Linked DNA regions of Macaca mulatta. The protein of the gene in region 5 purifies or fractionates together with the protein of the main gene of each other region. This does not show direct contact. Links are inferred from orthologs where the notes say so. Each region holds a gene or a part of one and is shown on either strand. Other genes may lie near its edges. The genes, in order: ARPC1B, ARPC4, ARPC3, ARPC1A, ACTR3B and ARPC2.

The links.
Region 1: the proteins of ACTR3B (region 5) and ARPC1B purify together in Homo sapiens (affinity purification with mass spectrometry; 5 studies listed by BioGRID and IntAct, counting the BioPlex papers as one, with this or other methods). This does not show direct contact. The link is inferred for Macaca mulatta from reciprocal best matches to the Homo sapiens genes ACTR3B and ARPC1B.
Region 2: the proteins of ACTR3B (region 5) and ARPC4 purify together in Homo sapiens (affinity purification with mass spectrometry; 5 studies listed by BioGRID and IntAct, counting the BioPlex papers as one, with this or other methods). This does not show direct contact. The link is inferred for Macaca mulatta from reciprocal best matches to the Homo sapiens genes ACTR3B and ARPC4.
Region 3: the proteins of ACTR3B (region 5) and ARPC3 purify together in Homo sapiens (affinity purification with mass spectrometry; 6 studies listed by BioGRID and IntAct, counting the BioPlex papers as one, with this or other methods). This does not show direct contact. The link is inferred for Macaca mulatta from reciprocal best matches to the Homo sapiens genes ACTR3B and ARPC3.
Region 4: the proteins of ACTR3B (region 5) and ARPC1A purify together in Homo sapiens (affinity purification with mass spectrometry; 5 studies listed by BioGRID and IntAct, counting the BioPlex papers as one, with this or other methods). This does not show direct contact. The link is inferred for Macaca mulatta from reciprocal best matches to the Homo sapiens genes ACTR3B and ARPC1A.
Region 6: the proteins of ACTR3B (region 5) and ARPC2 purify together in Homo sapiens (affinity purification with mass spectrometry; 6 studies listed by BioGRID and IntAct, counting the BioPlex papers as one, with this or other methods). This does not show direct contact. The link is inferred for Macaca mulatta from reciprocal best matches to the Homo sapiens genes ACTR3B and ARPC2.

Annotation. Positions count from the first base shown.
Region 1 is NC_133408.1:46,617,962-46,621,461, forward strand, and holds part of ARPC1B (actin-related protein 2/3 complex subunit 1B), read left to right. Parts: intron 1-833; 5' UTR 834-846; coding exon 847-910; exon of another isoform or gene 911-935; intron 936-1,737; exon of another isoform or gene 1,738-1,746; coding exon of another isoform or gene 1,747-1,786; coding exon 1,787-1,891; intron 1,892-3,139; coding exon 3,140-3,362; intron 3,363-3,500. UniProt on the Homo sapiens protein: Component of the Arp2/3 complex, a multiprotein complex that mediates actin polymerization upon stimulation by nucleation-promoting factor (NPF).
Region 2 is NC_133407.1:148,589,266-148,592,704, forward strand, and holds part of ARPC4 (actin-related protein 2/3 complex subunit 4), read left to right. Parts: intron 1-294; coding exon 295-390; intron 391-2,569; coding exon 2,570-2,740; intron 2,741-3,439. UniProt on the Homo sapiens protein: Actin-binding component of the Arp2/3 complex, a multiprotein complex that mediates actin polymerization upon stimulation by nucleation-promoting factor (NPF).
Region 3 is NC_133416.1:117,616,724-117,620,996, forward strand, and holds the start of ARPC3 (actin-related protein 2/3 complex subunit 3), read right to left. Parts: upstream 2,801-4,273; 5' UTR 2,724-2,800; coding exon 2,718-2,723; intron 1-2,717. UniProt on the Homo sapiens protein: Component of the Arp2/3 complex, a multiprotein complex that mediates actin polymerization upon stimulation by nucleation-promoting factor (NPF).
Region 4 is NC_133408.1:46,586,768-46,590,267, reverse strand, and holds part of ARPC1A (actin-related protein 2/3 complex subunit 1A), read right to left. Parts: intron 3,146-3,500; coding exon 2,933-3,145; intron 1-2,932. UniProt on the Homo sapiens protein: Probably functions as a component of the Arp2/3 complex which is involved in regulation of actin polymerization and together with an activating nucleation-promoting factor (NPF) mediates the formation of branched actin networks.
Region 5 is NC_133408.1:192,281,514-192,284,804, reverse strand, and holds the end of ACTR3B (actin-related protein 3B), read right to left. Parts: intron 2,415-3,291; coding exon 2,331-2,414; intron 1,418-2,330; coding exon 1,322-1,417; 3' UTR 501-1,321; downstream 1-500. UniProt on the Homo sapiens protein: Plays a role in the organization of the actin cytoskeleton.
Region 6 is NC_133417.1:123,440,737-123,444,236, reverse strand, and holds part of ARPC2 (actin-related protein 2/3 complex subunit 2), read right to left. Parts: intron 2,222-3,500; coding exon 2,109-2,221; intron 1-2,108. UniProt on the Homo sapiens protein: Actin-binding component of the Arp2/3 complex, a multiprotein complex that mediates actin polymerization upon stimulation by nucleation-promoting factor (NPF).

The DNA.
Region 1 (3,500 bases), about 150 Mb from region 5:
TTTTTTTTTTTTTTTCCTGAGATGAGTCTTACCGTGTCACCGAGCCTCCTGAGTAGTGCGTATTACAGGCAGGTGCCACGACACCTGGCTAATTTTTTTTTTTTTTTTTTTTTTTTGAGATGGAGTCTGCTTTGTGGCCCAGGCTGGAGTGCAGTGGTGCGATCTTGGCTTACTGCAAGCCCCGCCTCCCGAGTTCACACCATTCTCCTGCCTCAGCCTCCCGAGTAGCTGGGACTACAGGTGCCCGCCACCACACCCGGCTAATTTTTTGTATTTTTAGTAAAGACAGGGTTTCACCATGTTGGCCAGGCTGGTCTTGAACTCCTGGCTGCAAGTGATCCACCCACCTCGATCTCCCAAGGTGCTGGGATTACAAACATGAGCCACCAGGCCTGGCCTGGATGACTTCATCTTCATCCCATCCTTAATGGGGCAGGGAAGTTGGGGGGGGTCCATCCTGTGAGGAAACTGAGGCACAGGTGACAAGTGAGGGGCCTGTCCGGCTTGGAGTCCTAGCACCCCACCCCGCCCCAGGGAGCATCTCCCCTGTAGTACTATCTCCTCCACTCTGTCTCTGGAGCCTCAGAGATATCCCGTGAAAGCTGCCCTTTTATAAGGAGGGAAACTGAGGCCCCAGGAGGGGAAGCAACATGTCAGGCCAGTTAGGAGCCAGGGCTGGCCCCTGCTGCTCGTCTCTGCAAACAGCTGCCTCTCTAGACTGAGGGGCCTCCCTGGTGTGAGGCCCTTGAGGATCAGCTGGGGCCTGGTATCCGGGTAAAGTCAGGGGCAAGGTCAGGGCTGACGTGGATTCTCTCTTCCTTTCTTGGGCACAGGAGCCAAGCCGCCATGGCCTACCACAGCTTCCTGGTGGAGCCCATCAGCTGCCACGCCTGGAACAAGGACCGCAGCCGTGAGTGCTTGCTGGGGGTCGGTGGGTGGCTGCTTCTACCTCCTGGGATGGGGAGACTGGAGCAGCCAGGCCCCCGGACCATAGGCTCCATGCGGCTGTCCCCGGGCCTCACCCCTGGGTCTTCCAGCTGACCAGGGGTCTCCTGGGTTAAAGTTTAAGGAGGGAATGGGCCAGGTGCAGTGGCTCACGCCTGTAATCCCAGCACTTTGGGAGGCTGAGGTGGGTGGATCACTTGAGGTCAGGAGTTCCAGACCAGCCTGGCCAACATGGTGAAACCTTGTCTCTACTAAAAATGCAAAAATTAGCTGGGCGTGGAGGCATGCGCCCGTAAACCCAGCTACTGGGGAGGCTGAGGCAGGAGAATCACTTGAACCCGGGAGGCGGAGGTCGCAGTGAGCCGAGATTGCACCACTGCACTCCAGCCTGGGTGACAAAGCAAGACTCTGTCTCAAAAAAAAAAAAAAAAAAAGAAAGAAAAAGTGGCCAGGAAAAGCCTTTTGGAGGAGATGACATTTTGACATTTACACAGACACCCAGAGGAGGAGAGGGAGGGAACTCTGCCCCAGCTGGGGAGGGGCTGGCAGGTGCAGGGGCCCTGAGGTGTCAGCAGGAGCAGCGAGGGGACCCTGGCTGGCCAGAGCGATAGGGTGGGGAGAGGTCCCAGGGGTCATTGCTGCGAGTAAAGGACAGTCAGTCCCAGGAGAAGAGAGGGTGAACTGGCAGGGCCTGAAGGACTTCAGGGGGCCCCCTCCAAGGCAGAGGAGGAGAGCCTGAGTCATGAAGGATGAGGCTGTTGCCCAGGTGCACTGTGTAGTGTGTCCTGGCAGAGGGCAGTCATGGAGAGGGCCCCTCAGTCTCCCTCCATCTCCCCTGCAGAGATTGCCATCTGCCCCAACAACCATGAGGTGCACATCTACGAAAAGAGCGGTGCCAAATGGACCAAGGTGCACGAGCTCAAGGAACACAACGGGCAGGTGACAGGTATGTCAGGGTGGCTGGGACTACCCTCCTGAAAGGAGGTGGGGGGTGGGGTGCAAGGCAGGACATGGCCACTCATTATGGGGCATCTACCCACTCACTGTGAAACCCTGATTCAAACTGGCTTCAATTTTAAGGGGACTGTGTTGCCTCATGTTACCAAAAAACCCAAGAGGGTTGAGGGCTTCAGGAGAGGCTTGATCCAGCAGCTCCACATGACCAAGAACCCATCTTTTCTGCCTCTTGGCTTTGCCCTCCAGCATGTTTACTGATAGCATGGAGGGCTCTGACACTCCCTCATAAGCTCTAGGAGTGCCCCCTGGTGTCACTCTAAATAAGCACTGGATCTCAGTAAAAAGTGCTTGCTGGGCCGGGTGTGGTGGCTCATGCCTGTAATCCCAGCACTTTGGGAAGCCAAGGAGAGTGGATCGCTTGAGTTCAGGAGTTCGAGACCATCCTGGCCAACATGACAAAATGTTGAAAAATACAAAAGTTAGCCTGGTGTGGTGGCACACACCTGTAGTCCCAGATACTCCAGAGGCTGAGGCAGGAGAATCGCTTGAACCCAGGAGGCAGAGGTTGAAGTCAGCTGAGTTCACACCACTGCACTCCATCCTGGGCGACACAGCAAAACTGTGTCTCAATAAAAACAAAGAAAGAAAGAAAGAAAGAGGCTGGGTGCGGAGGCTCACACCTGTAATCCCAGCACTTTGTGAGGCTGAGGCAGGCGGATCACCTGAGGTCAGGAGTTCAAGACCAGCCTGGTCAACATGGTGAAACCCCATCTCTACTAAAATACAAAAATTAGCCAGACATGATGGTGGGTGCCTGTAATCCCAGCTACTTGGGCGGCTGAGATGTGAGAATCGCTTGAACCCGGGAGATGGTGGTTGCAGTAAGCTGAGATCACGCCACTGCACGCCAGCCTGGGCGGCTGAATGAGACGCCATGTCAAAAAAAAAGAGAAAGATTGGTGGTACACACCTGTAGTCCCAGCTACTCAGGAGGCTGAGGCACAAGGATTGCTTGAACCTGGGAGGCAGAGGTTGCAATGAGCCGAGCTCATGCCACTGCATTCCAGCCTGGGTGACAGAGTGAGACTCCATTTCAAAGAGAAAAAAAAAAAGTGCCTACTGGGCAGATAAAGCTTCCACCTTGATTGTGGCCTTTCAGCCTCTCCTGTGTGGCCACCATAGAGCCACCCCTGCCTGAGTGTCGTCAGCCTCCTGTGTCCCCTCCATCCCCCCACAGGCATCGACTGGGCCCCCGAGAGTAACCGTATTGTGACCTGCGGCACAGACCGCAATGCCTACGTGTGGACGCTGAAGGGCCGCACGTGGAAGCCCACTCTGGTCATCCTGCGGATCAACCGGGCCGCCCGCTGCGTGCGCTGGGCCCCCAATGAGAACAAGTTTGCTGTGGGCAGCGGCTCCCGTGTCATCTCCATCTGTTATTTCGAGCAGGAGAACGACTGGTGGGTACCTGGGCGGGGCTGGAGTGGGCTGGTAGGGACCTGGGGGCAGGACTAGAGTTTCCCCGGGAAGCACCAAATGGGATGTCGGGACCCCTGTTCCCATGACCCCTGGGGAGTCCATCCTCTCCTCTCTGGGCC
Region 2 (3,439 bases), on a different chromosome or scaffold from region 5:
ACTAGTGAAATGAGAATGGGAAGGGCAGCTTGGAGTACAGTTGTAGACTCTGAAAGAAGCCATAGAAGACTATAAGAATTACCTCTCTGGAATGGGTCCTCATTAACAGATGGCCCAAGGTAGACCCTTGTTTCAGCTGGCAGCCAGGTCCCCCACTTCAGTGATCCTTCCGAGTACCAAACCTCACTGTCTCCTGGGAGCCTTGGAGAAATTGGAGTCAGAAGACCAGGCTACAAGGTGTTTTTGGCCTTGGGTGTCAGCTTTAGAGAAACGTTTCTCTCTTGCACTCCGCAGGCCGATGAGATCGAGAAGATTTTATGCCACAAGTTCATGCGCTTCATGATGATGCGAGCAGAGAACTTCTTTATCCTTCGAAGGAAGCCTGTGGAGGTGAGACCCTGTGACCCATGAGTTTGCGATACCCAGGACCCTGCGTATCGCAATGGCCTGGGATTGTTTCTAGAACCAGGATCAGTGCTCCTCCAGCTGTTTGGCACCCACTGCCTGAATTGACAGTTGGCCTTCATCTCAGAGTGGGAGCAAAGAGGATTAGAAACTTAGGAAAAGTTGGGTCTACCTCAGCCATAGAAAAGGTGAAAAAGGGCCGGGTGTGGTGACTCACGCCTGTAATCCTAGCACTTTGGGAGACCGAGGTGGGTGGATCACGAGGTCAGGAGTTCAAGACCAGCCTGGCCAACATGGTGCAACCTCGTCTCTACTAAAAATACAAAAATTAGCTGGGCGTTGTGGTGGGCACCTGTAATCCCAACTACTCAGGAGGCTGAGGCAGAGAACTAACTGCTTAAACCTAGGAGGCGGAGGTTGCAGTGAGCCGAGATCGTGCCACTGCACTGCAGCCTGGGCAACAGAGCAAGACTCCGTCTCAGAAAAAAAAAAGGCAGAAAAGGTAAGACATATTGCTTATTCCCAGAGCCTATAGTCTAGCATCAGAAAGAGCTCAGTGAATTAGAAATCCTTTCTAAGCTCTGCCAACTGAATCATAGTCTCTCTCTCTCTTTTTTTTTTTTTTTGGAGATGGAGTTTTGCTCTTGTTGCCCAGGCTGGAGTACAGTGGCACAATCTCACTCACTGCAGCCTCCACCTCCCAGGTCAAGCGAGTCTCCTGCCTCAGCCTCCTGAGTAGCTGGGATTACAGGCATACGCTACCACACCTGGCTAATTTTGTATTTTTAGTAGAGACAGGGTTTCATTGTGTTGGCCAGGCTGGTCTCGGAACTCCTGACCTCAGGTGATCTGCCTGCTTCGGCCTCCCAAAGTGAATCATAGTCTCTCTTTTTTTTTTTTTTTATTTTTGAGACGGAGTCTCGGAGGCTCCGTCGCCCAGGCTGGAGTGCAGTGGCGCAGTCTCAGCTCACTGCAAACTCCACCTCCCAGGTTCATGCCATCCTCCTGCCTCAGCCTCCCAAGTAGCTGGGACTACAGGTGCCTGCCACCATGCCCGGCTTATTTTTTTGTATTTTTAATAGAGACGGGGTTTCACCGTGTTAGCCAGGATGATCTTGATCTCCTGACCTCATGATCCACCTGCCTCAGCTAGGTTTACAGGCGTGAGCCACTGCGCCCAGCCTCTTTTTTCTTTCTTTTTTTTTTTTTTTTTTTTTTTTTGAGACAGAGTCTCGCTGTGTCGCACAGGCTGGAATGCAGTGGCGTGATCTTGGCTCACTGCAAGCTCCGCCTCCTGGGTTCATGCCATTCTCCTGCCTCAGCCTCCCAAGTAGCTGGGACTACAGGCGCCTGCCACCACACCTGGCTAATTTTTTGTATTTTTAGTAGAGACAGGGTTTCACCGTGTTAGCCAGGATGGTCTTGATCTCCTGACCTCGTGATCCACCCACCTCGGCCTCCCAAAGTGCTGGGATTACAGGCATAAACCACCACGCCCGGCCCACCAAATCAGTCTTTTAAAGCCACAGTTAACATTGGGTCAGTTGTTGCCTGAATTTTTACTTGAATCTTCTCCACAGACTCCTTGCCAGGTCAACTTAAAATATCCCCAGTGACTGAGCAACTACCACACAGCAGCATGTGCCATCATCAGACACGTCAGGCGTGTTGGCCAAGTTCTTCCTCATCCTGAGCCAAATTTTCTCTCCTGGTCCTAGATCTAACCTCTGGGGCCACCTGGAATAAATAAAATTGCTCTTCCTCCCACAGCCCTCCAGCAGAAAAAGACCTTAATCCCACCCATCTTCCACATCATCTCTTCTCTGAACGAAATGTTCCCTGTTGTTTGATTAGATTCTTCTGTAACAAGACTTCAAGTCCCTTGACTCATTCTCAATGCAGAGTTCTTTGTGCCACAGATAGTCTTCCAGAGATGTCTGATACACACAGAATTCTCAACTGGGTTCAGTTGCTTGGATCCAACCTAGACACCCTCTCCCCCAGAGCAGCTGGGCTGCTGACTGGAAGGGTGTGTAGCTTGGGAGAAGATCACAGCCAGTGGGAACCATGTGGATGAGTGGAGGACGTGACCAGCTTAGTTCCCCTGGGGTGCTAATTCTCTCCTGTTCCTTCTCTTCCTCCTCCCTACTGTCTTCTTCCCTAGGGATATGATATCAGCTTTCTGATCACCAACTTCCACACAGAGCAGATGTACAAACACAAGTTGGTAGACTTTGTGATCCACTTCATGGAGGAGATTGACAAGGAGATCAGTGAGATGAAGCTGTCAGTCAATGCCCGTGCCCGCATTGTGGCTGAGGAGTTCCTTAAGAATGTGAGTAGGGGCCTTTCAGCTTTCCTTCCAGAGGCCAAAGGATCTGGGGGTCATGTTGAGAACTTAGCATCTGGTGGGAAAGGGGTCCAAGCAGTGTGTTTATATCTTCTGAGCTCTCTAGGACCCCTGGGCACAGCAGGTCAGTCAGGTGCTTTGGAGCCAGAGGACCCCAAGTTCATCTCTGAGAGCTACAAGGCGTTTTCTATGTTTGGGTGTCTGGGATGTCTCCTAGTCCCTCATAGGAACTTGGACACTCATTTCTACATCTCAAGATATTCACAAAGGCCTTACCTCTATCTCATTCAAACCCCAAGCGAGGCAAGTGAAGTCTGCATGTGAATTTTCTAGGAATATAGGACAGTTAATCATGTTATAATTCCACTTCTCAAATAGACTTCAGTACTTCCCTTCAGCATGTTTCTCAGGCTTAGTCGTGATTCCTTCAACCTGTTTTCTATCACTTGCATGATATCAGTCCTCCAGATTCCTCTTACATTGTTTATGCCTTTCTAATTGAAAGCACGTAGTCATTTGAAGAGGTAGAATTGTTTACATTGATGAACTGATGACATAGTTCTTAGTTGTTTAGATATTCAGAACATGCCTTCTTTTTTTTTCTCCTTTTTCCAAACAATCTTCGGTTTGTTGATATGTTCCACCCAGAGTGGCTGTGATCTCTAGATGGTAGACTTAGTGTAT
Region 3 (4,273 bases), on a different chromosome or scaffold from region 5:
ACACTTTGGGAGGCCGAGGCTGACAGATCACAAGGCCAAAAGATAGAGACCATCCAGACCAACATGGTGAAACCCCATCTCTACTAAAAATACAAAAATTAGCCGGGTGTGGTAGCACATGCCTGTATTCCCAGCTACTTGGGAGGCTGAGGCACGAGAATTACCTGAACACAGGAGGCAGAGGTTGCAGTGAGCCGAGATCGCACCACTGCACTTCAGCCTGGTACAGAGCGAGACTCCATCTCAAACAAACCAACCAACCAACCAACCCAGGGTGAATCCAGGGTGCTCTATGTGCAACTGGAGCCAGTACAGGGCTTTAGAGTCCTTTTTTTTTGGAGACAGAGTCTCCTCTCACCCAGGCTGGAGTACAGTGGCATGATCACAGCTCACTGCAGCCTCAAACTCCTGGCTCCAGGTGATCCTCCCACCTCAGCCTCTTGAGAGGCTGGGAGGAGATGCACTACCACATCCAGTTAATTTATTCTTATTTTTGTAGAGGCAGGGTCTCATTATGTTGCCCAGGTTGGTCTCAAACTCCTGGGCTCAAGTGATCCTCCCATCTTGGCCTCCTAAAGTGTTGGGATTACAGGCATAAGCCACTGTACCCAGCCTAGAGTCCTGGCTTAAAATCTGGTTTTACCATTAGTAGGCAACTTTGTCCAAATTAACTTCTCTGAGGTTCCGTTTCCTCTTCTGTAAAATAGGAATCATGGTACCTACTTCACAGGGTCATTATGAGGATTAGATGGGATAATTTATAAAGTGTGTACCCCAGAGCTCAGGAGTCAAATGGTAATTACGGAATTCATAAAATATGTATTTGTGAGGCTGAATGAGGTGGCTCACGCCTGTAATCCCAACACTCAGGGAGGTCGAGGCAGGAGGACTGCTTGAGCCCAGAAGTTTGAGACCAGCCTGGGCAACATGGTGAGACCCTGTCTCTACTGAAAATAGAAAAACTTAGCTGGGCGTGGTGATGTACACCTGTAGTCTCAGCTGCTCAGGAGGCTGAGGTGGGAGGATCACCTGAGCCAAGTTTGTGTCACTGCACTGCAGTCTCAGAGACGGGGTGTAACCCTGTCTCAAAAAAAAAAAAAAAAAAAAATCTATCTATATATATCTATATATATATGTATTTGCAACTATGGCTTGCTCCTTTTCATCACAAGTATACTTTATGTAAAGCACCCTCTGCCTTCCCTTTCACCAAACTGTCTTGTTACCTATCTAGTTTCTTTTTTTTGGAGTGGGGGGGTCAGAGTCTCACTCTGTGGCCAGGCTGGAGTGCAGTGGCACAGTCTTGGCTCACTGCAACCTCCACCTCCTGGGTTCAAGCGATTCTCCTGCCTCAGCCTCCCAAGTAGCTGGGATTACAGGCACGCGCCACTACGCCCAGCTAATTTTTTTATTTTTAGTAGAGATGGAGTTTCACCATGTTGGCCAGGCTGGTCTTGAACTCCTGACCTCGTGATCCATCCGCCTAGGCCTCCCAAAGTGCTGGGATTACAGGCGTGAGCCACCGCGCCTGGCCATCCATCTAGCTTCTTTATAGCATTTGTCACTACCTGACACTACTGTATGTATCTCCTTTATGTTTACACTTTTATTGTCTCGTCTCCCGATTTGAACGTACACTGTTTAAGATTAGGGATTTGTTGAACTTATTTGCTGCTGTAAATAGAGCCTGGCAGGCAGTAGGTGCTCGGTAACGTTTGTTAAAAATAATGTGTGAGCAGGCTGGGCGCGGTGGCTCATGTCTATAATCCCATCACTTTGGGAGGCCGAGGGGGCGGATCACCTGAGGTCTGGAGTTCCAGCCCAGCCCAGCCAACATGGTGAAACCCCCGTCCCTACTAAAATGCAAAAAATTAGCTGGGCGTGGTGGCGCGCGCCTGTAATCCCAGCTACCCAGGAGGCTGAGGCACGAGGACTGCTTGAACCAAGGTGGCGGAGGTTGTAGTGAGCCGAGATCGCCTCACTGCACTCCAGCCTGGACGACAGAACGAGACTCTCTCAAAAAACAAAAAAAGTGTGAACAATCACACAATAACCGAACCACCTTTTCCCGAATCTGCAAAATGGAGACCATGATGGTGATAAATCTAGCCCACAGACTGCCTGTCAGAAATTAAGTACAACCAGACCGTCATAGATTTTTACTCCCACTCTGATGCACACGAAAAAGGAAATCTTTGGAAGTCAGGCGCCGACCGAGTCTGTGAGGGCCCTATACCCAGGTGGCTCCGGGGTGGCCGCCGCTGCCGGGAAGTGGGTTCTGACAAATGACAAACAGCAGAGGGAGCCTGCCCCCCGGGGCGGAGGAGGAAGTGGGCCTCACAGAAAAAGGAGAAGCTAGACCCTGGACTTGAAATATGAAAAATAAAAAGGGCAACCCTTGGCTTCGCGCTGTAGTGACGCTTTGGGAACCCTGCCGGAGCCGGAAGGAGTAGACGGAGAGAGAGAGAAGAGGGCCTCCTCACACACCCTGGACCCCTGGACCCCGGGCCCACTCCTGCCGCGCCCCCGCCTCCCACGACTGGCACCCGCGGGCTGTCCCAATTCTTCAGCGACCGGTCCCCTCCCCTCGCCTCACTCCTTCTCGGGCCCCCGCTTCCTCTCTGCCTTCCGCCGCCCGCTTCTCTCGGCACACACAAGGTTTCTCCCCGCTTTTCGCAATCCCCGCTGTCTCCCCACACCATGGATCGAACCCTCACCGGCATCTTGGCAGCACCCGGGTTCCAACCCAGAGGAGCAGAATCCAGGTAGAGCAGAGCGCTTCCGGTCTTGCAGCCCGGGCGGGGTAGGCGGAAGCGAAACGGAAGGGGCGGGGTGATGACGTGAGCTTCCGGCTTTGTAGTTCCGCCTCTGGTTGCAGCGGCCGCGCGGATCTGAAAGGGGGCGCCAGAGCGCTAGGTAGGGGCCCTCAGAGTGGCGCAGCGTGAGGCGCGCGCAGAATGGAGATGGGTCTTGAGGTTCCAGAATCTTCGATCAATCACCTCTTTTGTGTTTTTTTCAAATTTCACCTTTTCAGGGCCGGGCATAGTGGCTCATGCCTGTAATCCCAGCACTTTGGGAGGCCGAGGCGGGTGGATTACCTGAAGTCAGGAGTCCGAGACCAGCCTGGATGGTGAAATCTCGTCTCTACTAAAAATACAAAACTTAGCTGGGCGTGGTAGCATCCCAGCTACTCGGGAGGCTGAGGCAGAATAATCGCTTGAACCTGGGAGGCGGAGTTTGCGGTGAGCCAAGATCGTGCCGCTGCACTCTAGCCTGGGTGAGAGTGTGACTCTATCTTAAACAAACAAACAAAACACCTTTCCTGTGAAGCCGCCTCTGGTCATTCTGTTTTCAATTCACCCGACTCCAGCCCCATGCCTTATCCTTCTCTCCCGCTTTTTCCCTTAGTTCTTATGATTCTTGTATTTAGTTTACTCTTAGTGCTTGTCTCCCTATCCTTGTAAATGCCAGACAGCACTTCGCCCGTTTTGTCCCCTGGCGCCTGTAACAGTGATGGTATGTAGGAAACATCAGTATTTGAGTAAATGAATGAACCCAATGCACTGCATCTAAAAATGGAGAAACTGAAGGGCACTGGAATCTGAATCGCAGCTTCAATACATACTAGCTCTATAATTTTGAGCAAGTTAACTTGCCTCTGTACTTCAGTTCCTCACCTGAAAATGGTTGTAACAATATTTACCTCATAATTTTGTGACGATGAAATGAATTACATGTAAAATGCTTAGAACTTACATGCTTGGAGCATACCGAAAGCCCAGGAGTTTTTAACCTATTTATTACTAGAAAACTTACGTTAAAAGTCAAGTTCATTGCTACCTGAGAGCCATTTCTTCTGCCAGTTCGCAGCCTGGAATAGAGCCCCATGTTCCCACATCTGATTTCGCATTCAGGTGACTGGGCAAATAGCACCTTTTAGGCAAGGTCTTTTTTGACAAAGAGCCCAAAGTAGCCCCATAGTCACTCTCCATTTCTTTTCTGCTTTCTGTTCTTTCCATCCTCTCTCCGAGGTTCAGTCTCACAGCCCAGCATGACAGCCCCACGTGAGCAAAGCGCTGCCTGCACTGTGAGTCCCTGTTCTATCCCCAGTACCTGGCATCCATAGAACTTCAGTAAATTTGTGTAAAGAATCATGTCAGCCCTGCCTATGAGACAGTGAAATCCTCGAGGACTGGAATTGTCAGATTCATCTTTGAAACCCTAGTGTCCAGTGGGGAAGGCACTGGAATCGGGTCCTTCACTTTTTCTCCAC
Region 4 (3,500 bases), about 150 Mb from region 5:
ACAAAAATGTATAAAATGTATAACCTCATTTCTGTTAAAAATGAAAAGATATATAAGTGCTTGTTTATGTAGAGAAATTTTCTGAAAGACTACATTTTATAATGGAGGGGACAATCTTTTTTTTTTTTTTTTTTTTTTGAGACAGAGTCTCGCTCTTGTTGCCCAGGCTGGAGTGCAGTGGTGCGATCTCAGCTCACTGCAACCTCCACCTGCTGGGTTCAAGCAATTCTCCTGCCTCAGCCTCCTGGGTAGCTGGGATTACAGGTGCCTGCCACCTTGCCTGGCTAATTTTTGTACTTTTAGTAGAGACAGGGTTTTGCCGTGTTGGCCAGGCTGGTCTCAAACTCCTGACCTCAGGCAATCTGCCTGCCTTGGCCTCCCAAAGTGCTGGGATTACAGGCATGAGCCACTGTGCCTGGCCGGAGGGGATAATCTTTAAAAAAATATGTAAAACTAGCTAAAAAATGCACATTTAATCCTGTTAGGAAAAACGTATCATGTCTGAAATATCATGCTGTTTACACTGGGTGACTCTTACTGACCTGACAGGGAGTAAAGGTCACCCAGTGTGATTGATTTTTGATACTCAAGTGGCCATGTCCATCACAAAACCTTTAATGGTGAGTTTCCTTTAGCTATCAATGGAAAAGGATTCACCAGGGAAGAACAAAGATTGATAAAAGAAGAAGGATTCCAATCTTCTCTCTTCCTCCAACATATATTGAACAAAATGAACTCTGATATTTGGCCAGGTACTTTATGGCTGAGCAGACACACCACTCACAAAGAAGCCACCATAATTAGAGTCCTTCCAGCACACGGCAGAGGAAGTGGCGTCAATGGTTTTTAAGCCTTACTGAATGGAAGGCTCAAATTAATGAAGTCATTGTTTGCTGACTACCCTGAGTAAGAATATATCTCCAATGTAATTTAAGGCCGGTGAATGGTATTTACATTTTGTAAGGAGTTCAGAGTAACAGACTAAACTGGCCTTTTTTTTTTTTTTTTGAGATGGAGTCTTGCTCTCGTGCCCAGGCCGGAGTGTACTGGCATGATCTCGGTTCACTGCAATCTTCACCTCCTGGGTTCAAGCGATTCTCCTGCCTCAGCCTCCCAAGTAGCTGGGACTACAGGCACCCACCACCATGCGAGGCTAATTTTTGTATTTTTGTAGAGACGGGGTTTCACCATGTTGGCCAGGCTGCTCTCGAACTCCTGACCTCAGGTGATCCACCCACCTTGGTCTTCCAAAGTGCTGGGATTATAGGTGTGAGCCACTGTGCCCAGCGTAAACTGGCCCTTTTTAAGCGACCCTTATCAGTAGCAAACCAGGAGGGTTCTTGAAAGGAATCATTATCAGTACTTCCATTAAGAAGTACTTCTGGAACACCTAGGTCTTAAAAATTTTCCAACCCGAGAATTTGTATCTGTGCCTGTCACGGTAAAGGCTGACTTGCAGTTTTTTTTTTTTTTTTTTTGAGACAGAGTTCCGTTCTTGTCGCCCAGACTGGAGTGCAATGGCACAATCTTGGCTCACCGCAACCTCTGCTTCTTGGGTTCAAGAGATTCTCCAGCCTCAGCCTCCTGAGTAGCTGGGATTACAGGCATATGCCACCACACCTGGCAAAAAAAATTTTTGTTTTTTTGAGACAGAGTTCTGCATTTGTTGCCCAGGCTGGAATGCAATGGTGCGATCTTGGCTCACTGCAACCTCCGCCTCCCGGGTTCAAGTGATTCTCCTGACTCAGCCTCCTGAGTAGCTGGGATTACAGGCATGTGCCACCACGTCCGGCTAATTTTCTGTATTTTTAGTAGAGATAGGATTTCTCCATGTTGGTCAGGCTGGTCTCGAACTCCTAACCTCAAGTGATCCGCCTGCCTCAGCCTCCCAAAGTGCTGGGATTACAGGTGTGAGCCACTGCGGCTAATTTTTGTATTTTTAGTAGAGACAGGGTTTCACCATGTTGGCCAGGCTGGTCTTTTTTTTTTTTTTTTTTTTTTGAGACAGAGTCTCACGCTGTCGCCCAGGCTGGAGTGCAGTGGCGCGATCTCGGCTCACTGCAAGCTCCGCCTCCCGGGTTCACGCCATTCTCCTGTCTCAGCCTCCTGAGTAGCTGGGACTATAGGCGCCCGCCACCGTGCCCAGCTAAGTTTTTGTATTTTTAGTAGAGACGGGGTTTCACCCTGTTAGCCAGGATGGTCTCAATCTCCTGACCTCATGATCCGCCCGCCTTAGCCTCCCAAAGTGCTGGGATTACAGGCGTGAGCCACCGCGCCCGGCCAAGGCTGGTCTTGAACTCCTGACCTCAGGTGGTCCACCCATGGCCTACCAAAGTGCTGGGACTACAGGTGTGAGCCACTGTGCCCAGCAAGGCTAATTTTTGTATTTTTAGTAGAGACAGGGTTTCACCATGTTGGCCAGGCTGTTCTTGAATTCTTGACCTCAGGTGATCTGCCCACAGCCTATCCCAAAGTGCTGGGATTATAGGCATGAGCCACCAAGTCCAGCCTGCCTGCAGTTTTGATTGAGTTCTTTTGTTTTATTTTGTTTTGTTTTCTTTTGAGACGGAGTCTCGCTCTGTCACCCAGGCTGGAGTGCAGTGGCGTGATCTCGGCTAACTGCAACCTCCGCCTCCCAGGTTCAAGCAATTCTCTGCCTCAGCCTTCCGAGAAGCTGGGATTACAGGCGCCCACCACCACGCCTGGCTAATTTTTTATTTTTAGTAGAGACAGGGTTTCACCATCTTGGTCAGGCTGGTCTTGAACTCTTGACCTTGTGATCCACCCACCTTGGCCTCCCAAAGTTTTGGGATTACAGGCGTTAGCCTTCGCGCCCGGACTGATTGACTGACCAGGAAGGGCAGTCCTGGTTCAGCTGGTGAGAGATCCCACCCCTTGTTCCCCACCTTCCAAATGAAAGGCAAATACTCACTGCACACTTTTTGAGGCATCAGCAACAGACACGGTGCTGTCGTGGCTGACCCAGGCCAGGCGGCTCCCACTGGCAGAGAAGCTGACCCCGTGGACCCAGCCACCAGTGCCACTGCCACCAAACTCTGACATCAGCTGCCCAAAAGGCATCTTGCTGCCCCAGGGCGTGCTGGCTGGCTTTTCATCCACTTCTTTAATGTAGGCAGAAAACACTCTGTTTAAAGGGCAGAGAGAAAAGGAAAAAGCAAATGAAAAAATATATATCTAGAAACAGGCCATAGGCAGCTGCCACAAGGAATCTCAGAATGCAAAGAGGTTGACTCAATAAAAACAAAAAACATGGGCTGGGCACGGTGACTCATGCCTGTAATCCTAGCATTTTGGGAGGCCTAGGCAGGCGGATCACCTGAGGTTGGGAGTTTGAGACCAGCCTGACTAACATGGAGAAACTCTGTCTCTACTAAAAATACAAAATTAGCCAAGCGTGGTGGCCCTTGCTTGTAATCCCAGCTACTCAGGAGGCTGAGGAAGGAGAATTGCGTGAACCCAGGAGGCGGAGGTTGCAGTGA
Region 5 (3,291 bases):
AGAAGAAATACCATAAATAGCAATTTTTAAAGTAACATAATTATAAGAATTATATGAAGAGCGAAATAAACCTAAATCTATTAATTGAGCAAACTACCTTTCAAGCCAACAATCCATTCAGCAAACATCAGAGTAGTTACTGAAAGCTTACAGTCATGAATCCTGAATTTCTGGGAAAGAATATCAGAAATCATTAGTCGCTCCTTCCCACTATACCCCAGATGCCAAAACCATCTCTGACGGGTTATCCAGACCCACGATAAACCATCTCTGATGGGTTATCCAGACCCACGATAAGCCATCTCTGATGGGTTATCCAGACCCATGATACCTCTGGCCACTGCAGGGCACGCAGCCCACACCATTCAGAAAAAGACATTTCCTCCCACAAGCTGGGTATTAATCAAATCCGCCAATGATGTAAAACAATCTCAATATTCTTTGAAAGAAGCACAGCGACAGGGAGAAAAACAACAGACCACCACACTACAGCAGAAAGGTATTTATAAATATTCTAACAGCTTTTATTACAATGGTGCAAGGAAGTATTTCATCCAACACTCACCGACAACAAACCATCATCTTCTATAAAACAGTTCCAGAAAGTTCAAACAAAAAAACTAAAACATACAAGATCTGTAGTAATTCTCATACAATACTGTTTAGTGTTCAAACTTCATGTCACTCCAATAAAGTATAATCATTTTCTAGCAAACATGTGGCAAAAAAGTTTGCTGTTTTATTTGTTTGCCTATAAACATATCAGAACATGCCTCACAATTAAAAACTCTGGATCACAGCACTCCATGACATCAATATCTATTCGTGCTTAGTATCAGCCAGTTGTACCAAATACCATAAAATACAAAATGATAGGAAATATAAACATCGATTTGTATTTCAAGTTTAAACATTTTATTTACAAAAATAGGCTGGGAGGAAAAGGGTTTTGCACCCCCACATTCTCTCCCGGGGCAGAATGATTTTGCGCCATTTTCTAATGTTGTTTTCTCTAACAATTTTCAGTCACATTTGGATTCCTTCAGAATTGTATTTGTCAGCTAGCAGCTCGGAAGAGGAGGGGGCGGCGGGAGAGCGAGGGAGAGGAGGGCGGGTGAGGGAGGAGGCTGGCAGACAGCGGTCGCACACGGATAATGGCTTTTACTGAAGGGCCCGCGCCGCGCCTCATGCACCGGCAATGCAAGCACGCTGCTGGGCAGCAACACCGACGTCGCTATTTACAGAACGGCGGCCTTCTCTGGGTTCTGAAGGACACTTGTTTCCCAACGTGACACCACTGAACGACGCTTTCAGGCAGACACTAGGACATGACTCCGAAGACGGGGTTGTGGCGGCAGATGCTGGGCCCGTACTCTTCATAGTCCTTCTTGGTGTGGCAGACCTGAAAGAACTCGGGCTACGAGAGGCAACAGGCAGACAGAAAGACACACATTTCAGAAGAAAGTCAAGCACCAAGCAGGCAAGACACTCCCCTCATCCCGGCCTCCACCCTCCCTCACGGGGCCACTGCTGCAAGGTTTTACCTCTCTGATGGACGGAACTACTAAATGGGGGGCATTTCACTTTTTAGAAATTTCATCAGCCTCTATCTTCTCAGGACCAACCAAATGCTGGTCCCCCACTAACAACATGTGATAATGTGTAAGCTGTTCACAGACCCCCCACCACCACCGTGTGAGCTGTTCACAGACTTGAGGGGAAAAGTAAGAATTATTTGGAAAAGTCACTGAAATTAATGATTAATGCAGGATTTGTTTAGATTATTTTTGGATTCCACTTACCATGTTATCTGTAACCCCTAATTAGCAAGGATAAGTGATAAATGTGTTGTGTGATATATTAAGACCATAGTTTATATTGGGCCGGGCGCAGAGGCTCAGGCCTGTAATCCCAGCACTCTGCGAGGCTAAGCTGGAGGGGGGTGGATCACCTGAGGTTAGGAGTTCAAGACCAGCCTGGCCAACATGGCAAAACCCCATCTCTAAAAAACACAACCAAAAAAAATTAGCCAGGTGTGGTGGTGAACGCCTGTAGTCCCAGCTACTCAGGATGCAGAGGCAGGAGAACTGCTTAAACCTGGGAGGCAGAGGTTGCAGTGAGTTGAGATCGCGCCACTAAATTCCAGCCTGGGTGACAGAGTAAAACTCCATCTCAAAAAAAAAAAAAAAGATATAATTTATATTTTACAGAATTGTCTGTTTAGAGCCACACGATTAGGGCACACACTATTTCACCTTCAGAGACGATATTTACCCAAACTCAATAGAGAGCACAGGAATGGAAACACAGAGCCCGAGAGAGGGACTTACAGTCGAGGCCAGCATGGAGCCTCCGAACCACACGGCATAGCGCTGCATGTGATGAGTGACCACCTGGACCTCCACAGGCTTTGGCTGGAAGAGAAAGCAGCTCTCACTCCACGCGCACAGACACATCTGTGATCCAATCATCCCCCAGCTGATGAGACCACGGCTTCACCCGGGGCCGCCCTCCTCTTACTGGCACAAGCACAACCTCACACCCAGCACTCAGTGACTCTGCCCCTGCTGCCAAATCCCCCCTAAGACCCACCACAATCCCAGCCCCCAGGGCTCAAAGGAACACAGTGCGCCCGGCAAGCAGAACCTGCCTCTCACAAGGCTGAAAAAGCACAAAATCCAGGCAATTAACCGCACTGCTTTTTCTTGACCAAACGTATCAGATGTTTTAGCACCGCAGAGATCATCCCAAATAAGATTAACCATCCCCAAAATACTAAAAGAAACTGTGCTTTTCCGGCTGGGTGAGGTGGCTCATGCCTGTAATCCCAGCACTTTGGGAGGCCAATGCAGGCAGATCACGAGGTCAGGTGATGGAGACCATCCTGGCTAACACAGTGAAACCCCGTCTCCACTAAAAATACCAAAAATTAGCCAGGTGTGGTGGCGGGCACACCTTTAGTCCCAGCTACTCAGGAGGCTGAGGCAGGAGAACGGTGTGAACCTGAGAGGCGGAGCTTGCGGTGGGCCGAGATCTCGACACTGCACTCCAGCCTGGGTGGCAGAGCGAGACTCTGTCTCCAAAAAAAAAAAAAAGGAAAGGAAACTGTGCTTTTCCAACAGTGGACTCATGCGCGCTCTTCCTTGCGCCCACTGCCGCTATCGAAGCCCACTCTTGGTTAGAAGCCCACAGTGATCACCAGCTACTTAAGAATTACTATCTTGGAGAAACGCCTTGTAACTCCCTGCTAACGTTAGTTATTTTCATTTAACGAGAACGTTTCCGAAGGAA
Region 6 (3,500 bases), on a different chromosome or scaffold from region 5:
TGTGGTGGCTAGAAGAATAGCAATGTGTTCTGGAGCTCCATTGTAAGAAAAGCACAGAATGGAAAGGAGATATAAGAAATCTAGCTTAACTCTTTCTTTTCAGGATTATTATTATTGCATTTAGATCTTTTCCCTTTTTTGAGATGGAATCTCACTATGTTGTCCAGGCTGGACTTGAGCTCCTGGGCTCCAGCGATCCTCCCCACTTGAACCCCCAAGTAGTTGGCACTACAGGTGCATGCCACTGCGCAGGCTCGCACCTAGTGAAGACTGTCTAGGGGAGAATGATTACACAATTTAAAAAACGTCTGTTCAAATACTGTGACACTTCTTATCAGGTAGTTATAGCTAATTCAAAGCAGGGCTGCAGCTGGACGTGGTGGCTCACATCTATAATACCAGCACTTTGGGAGGCCCAGGAAGGAGGATTGCTTGAGCCCAGGAGTTCGAGACTAGCCTGGGCAACATAGTGAAACCTCCTGTCTATAAAACAAAACAAAACAAAAAATAAGCTAGGTGTGGTGGCACGTGCCTGTAGTCCCAGCCACTCAAGAGGCTGAGGTGAGAGGACTGCTTGAGCCTGTGAAGTTGAGGGTGCAGTAGCTGTGATTGTGCCACTGCACTCCAGCCTAGGTGACAGAGCAAGACCTTGTTTAAAAAAAAAAAAAAAAAAAAGGGCTGGGCACAGTGGCTCACACTTGCAATCTTAGCACTTTGGGAGGTCGAGGCAGGCAGATCACCTGATGTCAGTAGTTCGAGAATAGTCTGGCCAACGTGGTGAAACCCCATCTCTATGAAAAACACAAAAAATTAGCCAGGTGTAGTGGTGCTTGCCTGTAATCCCAGCTGCTCAAGAGGCTGAGGCAGATGAATGCTTGAATCCAGGAGGCAGAGGCTGCAGTGAGCCGAGACAGCACTACTGCAGTCCAGCCTGGGCAACAGAGGGAGACTCAATCTCAAAAAAAAAAAAAAAAAAAAAGGCAGGGCTGCTTTAATAGCCATTTGTTTTCTTTCGCTCTTTATCTGGTAAAGAAGTGTCAGCCACTATCTTTTACAAAACAATTCTTCAAAAGCTTTATAAAAGCACTAGATCTTTCTGAAGCTTTTCTTTTTCCAGTAAAGTAACCAGGATTCCAAATTCTCTAAATGTTTCTTCTTTCTTTGAACTTATGAGAAAATCAATTGCATTTGAATAACTAAGGGAAGTAACTGATCGCTCTTGGTATTAAGTAAGACCAACTTCAGTTTTTATGCTAAAAAATTAAACAAGCTTTTGACCATATTCCTTTACAAATCATCTTTTATTATATAAATTTTAAATAATTTAAAAGCTACTACTTTTCAAAAAGAAAACAGCTACGATTATATCTTCATTTAACAGATTAAGGAGAACCTAGTTTGTTAAAACTAAGAAATTTGAAAACTGATTCAGGAACTGAGTCATATTTCCTGCTTTGAGACCCAACCACAACGTGCACAAACTGGTGTAATAGCATTTTCTTTCTTCCATAAATGGTTCTCCCCAGAGCAAATACAGTTCAACAGGAACCAAACCTGCTACTTAACTATTTAAAGAAGCCAGTGAACAAGGCATGGCCACCGAAGTTTCATAATGTCTGGACGTCCTTTCTTATTTCCCCTATGGCAGTTATAAAGAAGAGATATTTAAAGAGGGTAGCTTTAAAGAGCTTTAATTAAAAATTTCAAAAGACAGCTATTTGTGCCTAAGCTTCCAGAATGAGAACCTGAGACAATAAAATTTAAACAAGCTAGAAATTATCTATTTGCCTTGATAATATTACAAAAATAGGACAGAACCTAATTCTTGCAACAGCTATTTTTGTCCTGATCAAGGAAAAGTATTCTTTGCTATGTTTTTGGAGAACTAAAGTTGTTTTCGTTTCCATTGTTTTAAAGCAAGCAAGAAAGAGTCAAAACCTTTTCTAGAGACACACTTAATTCATTATAGTAATCAAGTCAAGAGCCCCTAGTTAGGTGAGCAAGTAGTCATGCGGGGGTGATTTAGTGCCATGGATCTTCCATGAATGGCAAACTGCCAATAAAAGGTGAGGAAACAAGAGTCCTACGGAAAATGATGTGGACCTTACCTCATCAGCACCATGTGCCTGAAGTTCCTTGTAGAATTTCAAAGAAATACTGACCATCACTTTTGTTTTGTCTCCATTAGGATTTGAAATATGATAGAGGACCCCATCAAAATCTGTGAGGAAAGCAAGTAAGATCGTATAACAATTTGGAAATGGGAAATAATCTCTCCAAGCGCCTACCTTGCTGTAGGCCACAAGGAAGACCTGTTACAAGGAGGCATATAAGTAAAACGGAATTTATTTTAAATCCATGTGACAAATCAGCAGAAACACTGGGATAGAATTGCTGAGTACTCATCTCTTTGCCCTTTCTTAAAATTACAAAGCTATTCTTTCCTTAATCACAGCTTGGTGCTGAAATAATTGGATTTTACATGTATACAATCAGAACAAACAGTATAATGAACTCCCATCTCCACCATGAGGCTTCAACTTTTTTTTTTTTTTTTTTTTGAGACAGAGTCTTACTCTGTTACCCAGGCTGGAGTGCAACGGCATGATCTCGGCTCACTGCAACCTCTGCCTCCCGGGTTCAAGAGATTCTCCTGCCTCAGCCTCCCGAGTAGCTGGGACTACAGCATGTGCTACCACACCCGGCTAATTTTTGTATTTTTAGTGCAGACAGGGTTTCACTATGTTGGCCAGGCTGGTCTTGAACTCCTGACCTCATGATCTGCCCACCTCGGCCGCCCAAAGTGCTGGGATTACAGGCGTGAACCACCTCGCCCGGCCTCAACAATTATTAACACATGGGTAATTATTGTTTCATTTAGACATCCTCCTTCCCATTGATTTATTTTGAAGCAAATCCCAGACACGACACATAATTTCATCCATAAATACTTCAGAATGTATCTTTGGAAGATACAGAAGACTGTTAAAAAACATAACCATGATACAAGTGTCATGCCTAAATTTTTAAAAACAATTTCTTAATATCAAATATTCAGTCAAGGCCGGGCACGGTGGCTCAAGCCTGTTAACCTAGCACTTTGGGAGGCTGAGGTGGGTGGATCACTGGAGGTCAGGAGTTCAAAACCATCCTGGCCAACATGGTGGAACTGTCTCTACTAAAAATACAAAATATTAGCTTGGCGTGGTGGCACACGCCTGTAATCCCAGCTACTTGGGAGGCTGAGACAGGAGAATCACTTGAACCCAGGGGTAGAGGTTGCAGTGCGCTGAGATTGCGCCATTGCACTCAAGTTTGGGGGACACAGCAAGATGCAGTGTGGGAAAAAAAAAAAATTAGCTGGCTGTGGTGGTAGGAATCTGTAGTCCCAGCCACTTGAGAGGCAGAGGCAGGAGAATCGCTTGAACTCGGGAGGTGGAGGCTGCAGTGAGCAGATTATGAGCGCCACTGCACTCCAGCCTGGGTGACAGAGTGAGACT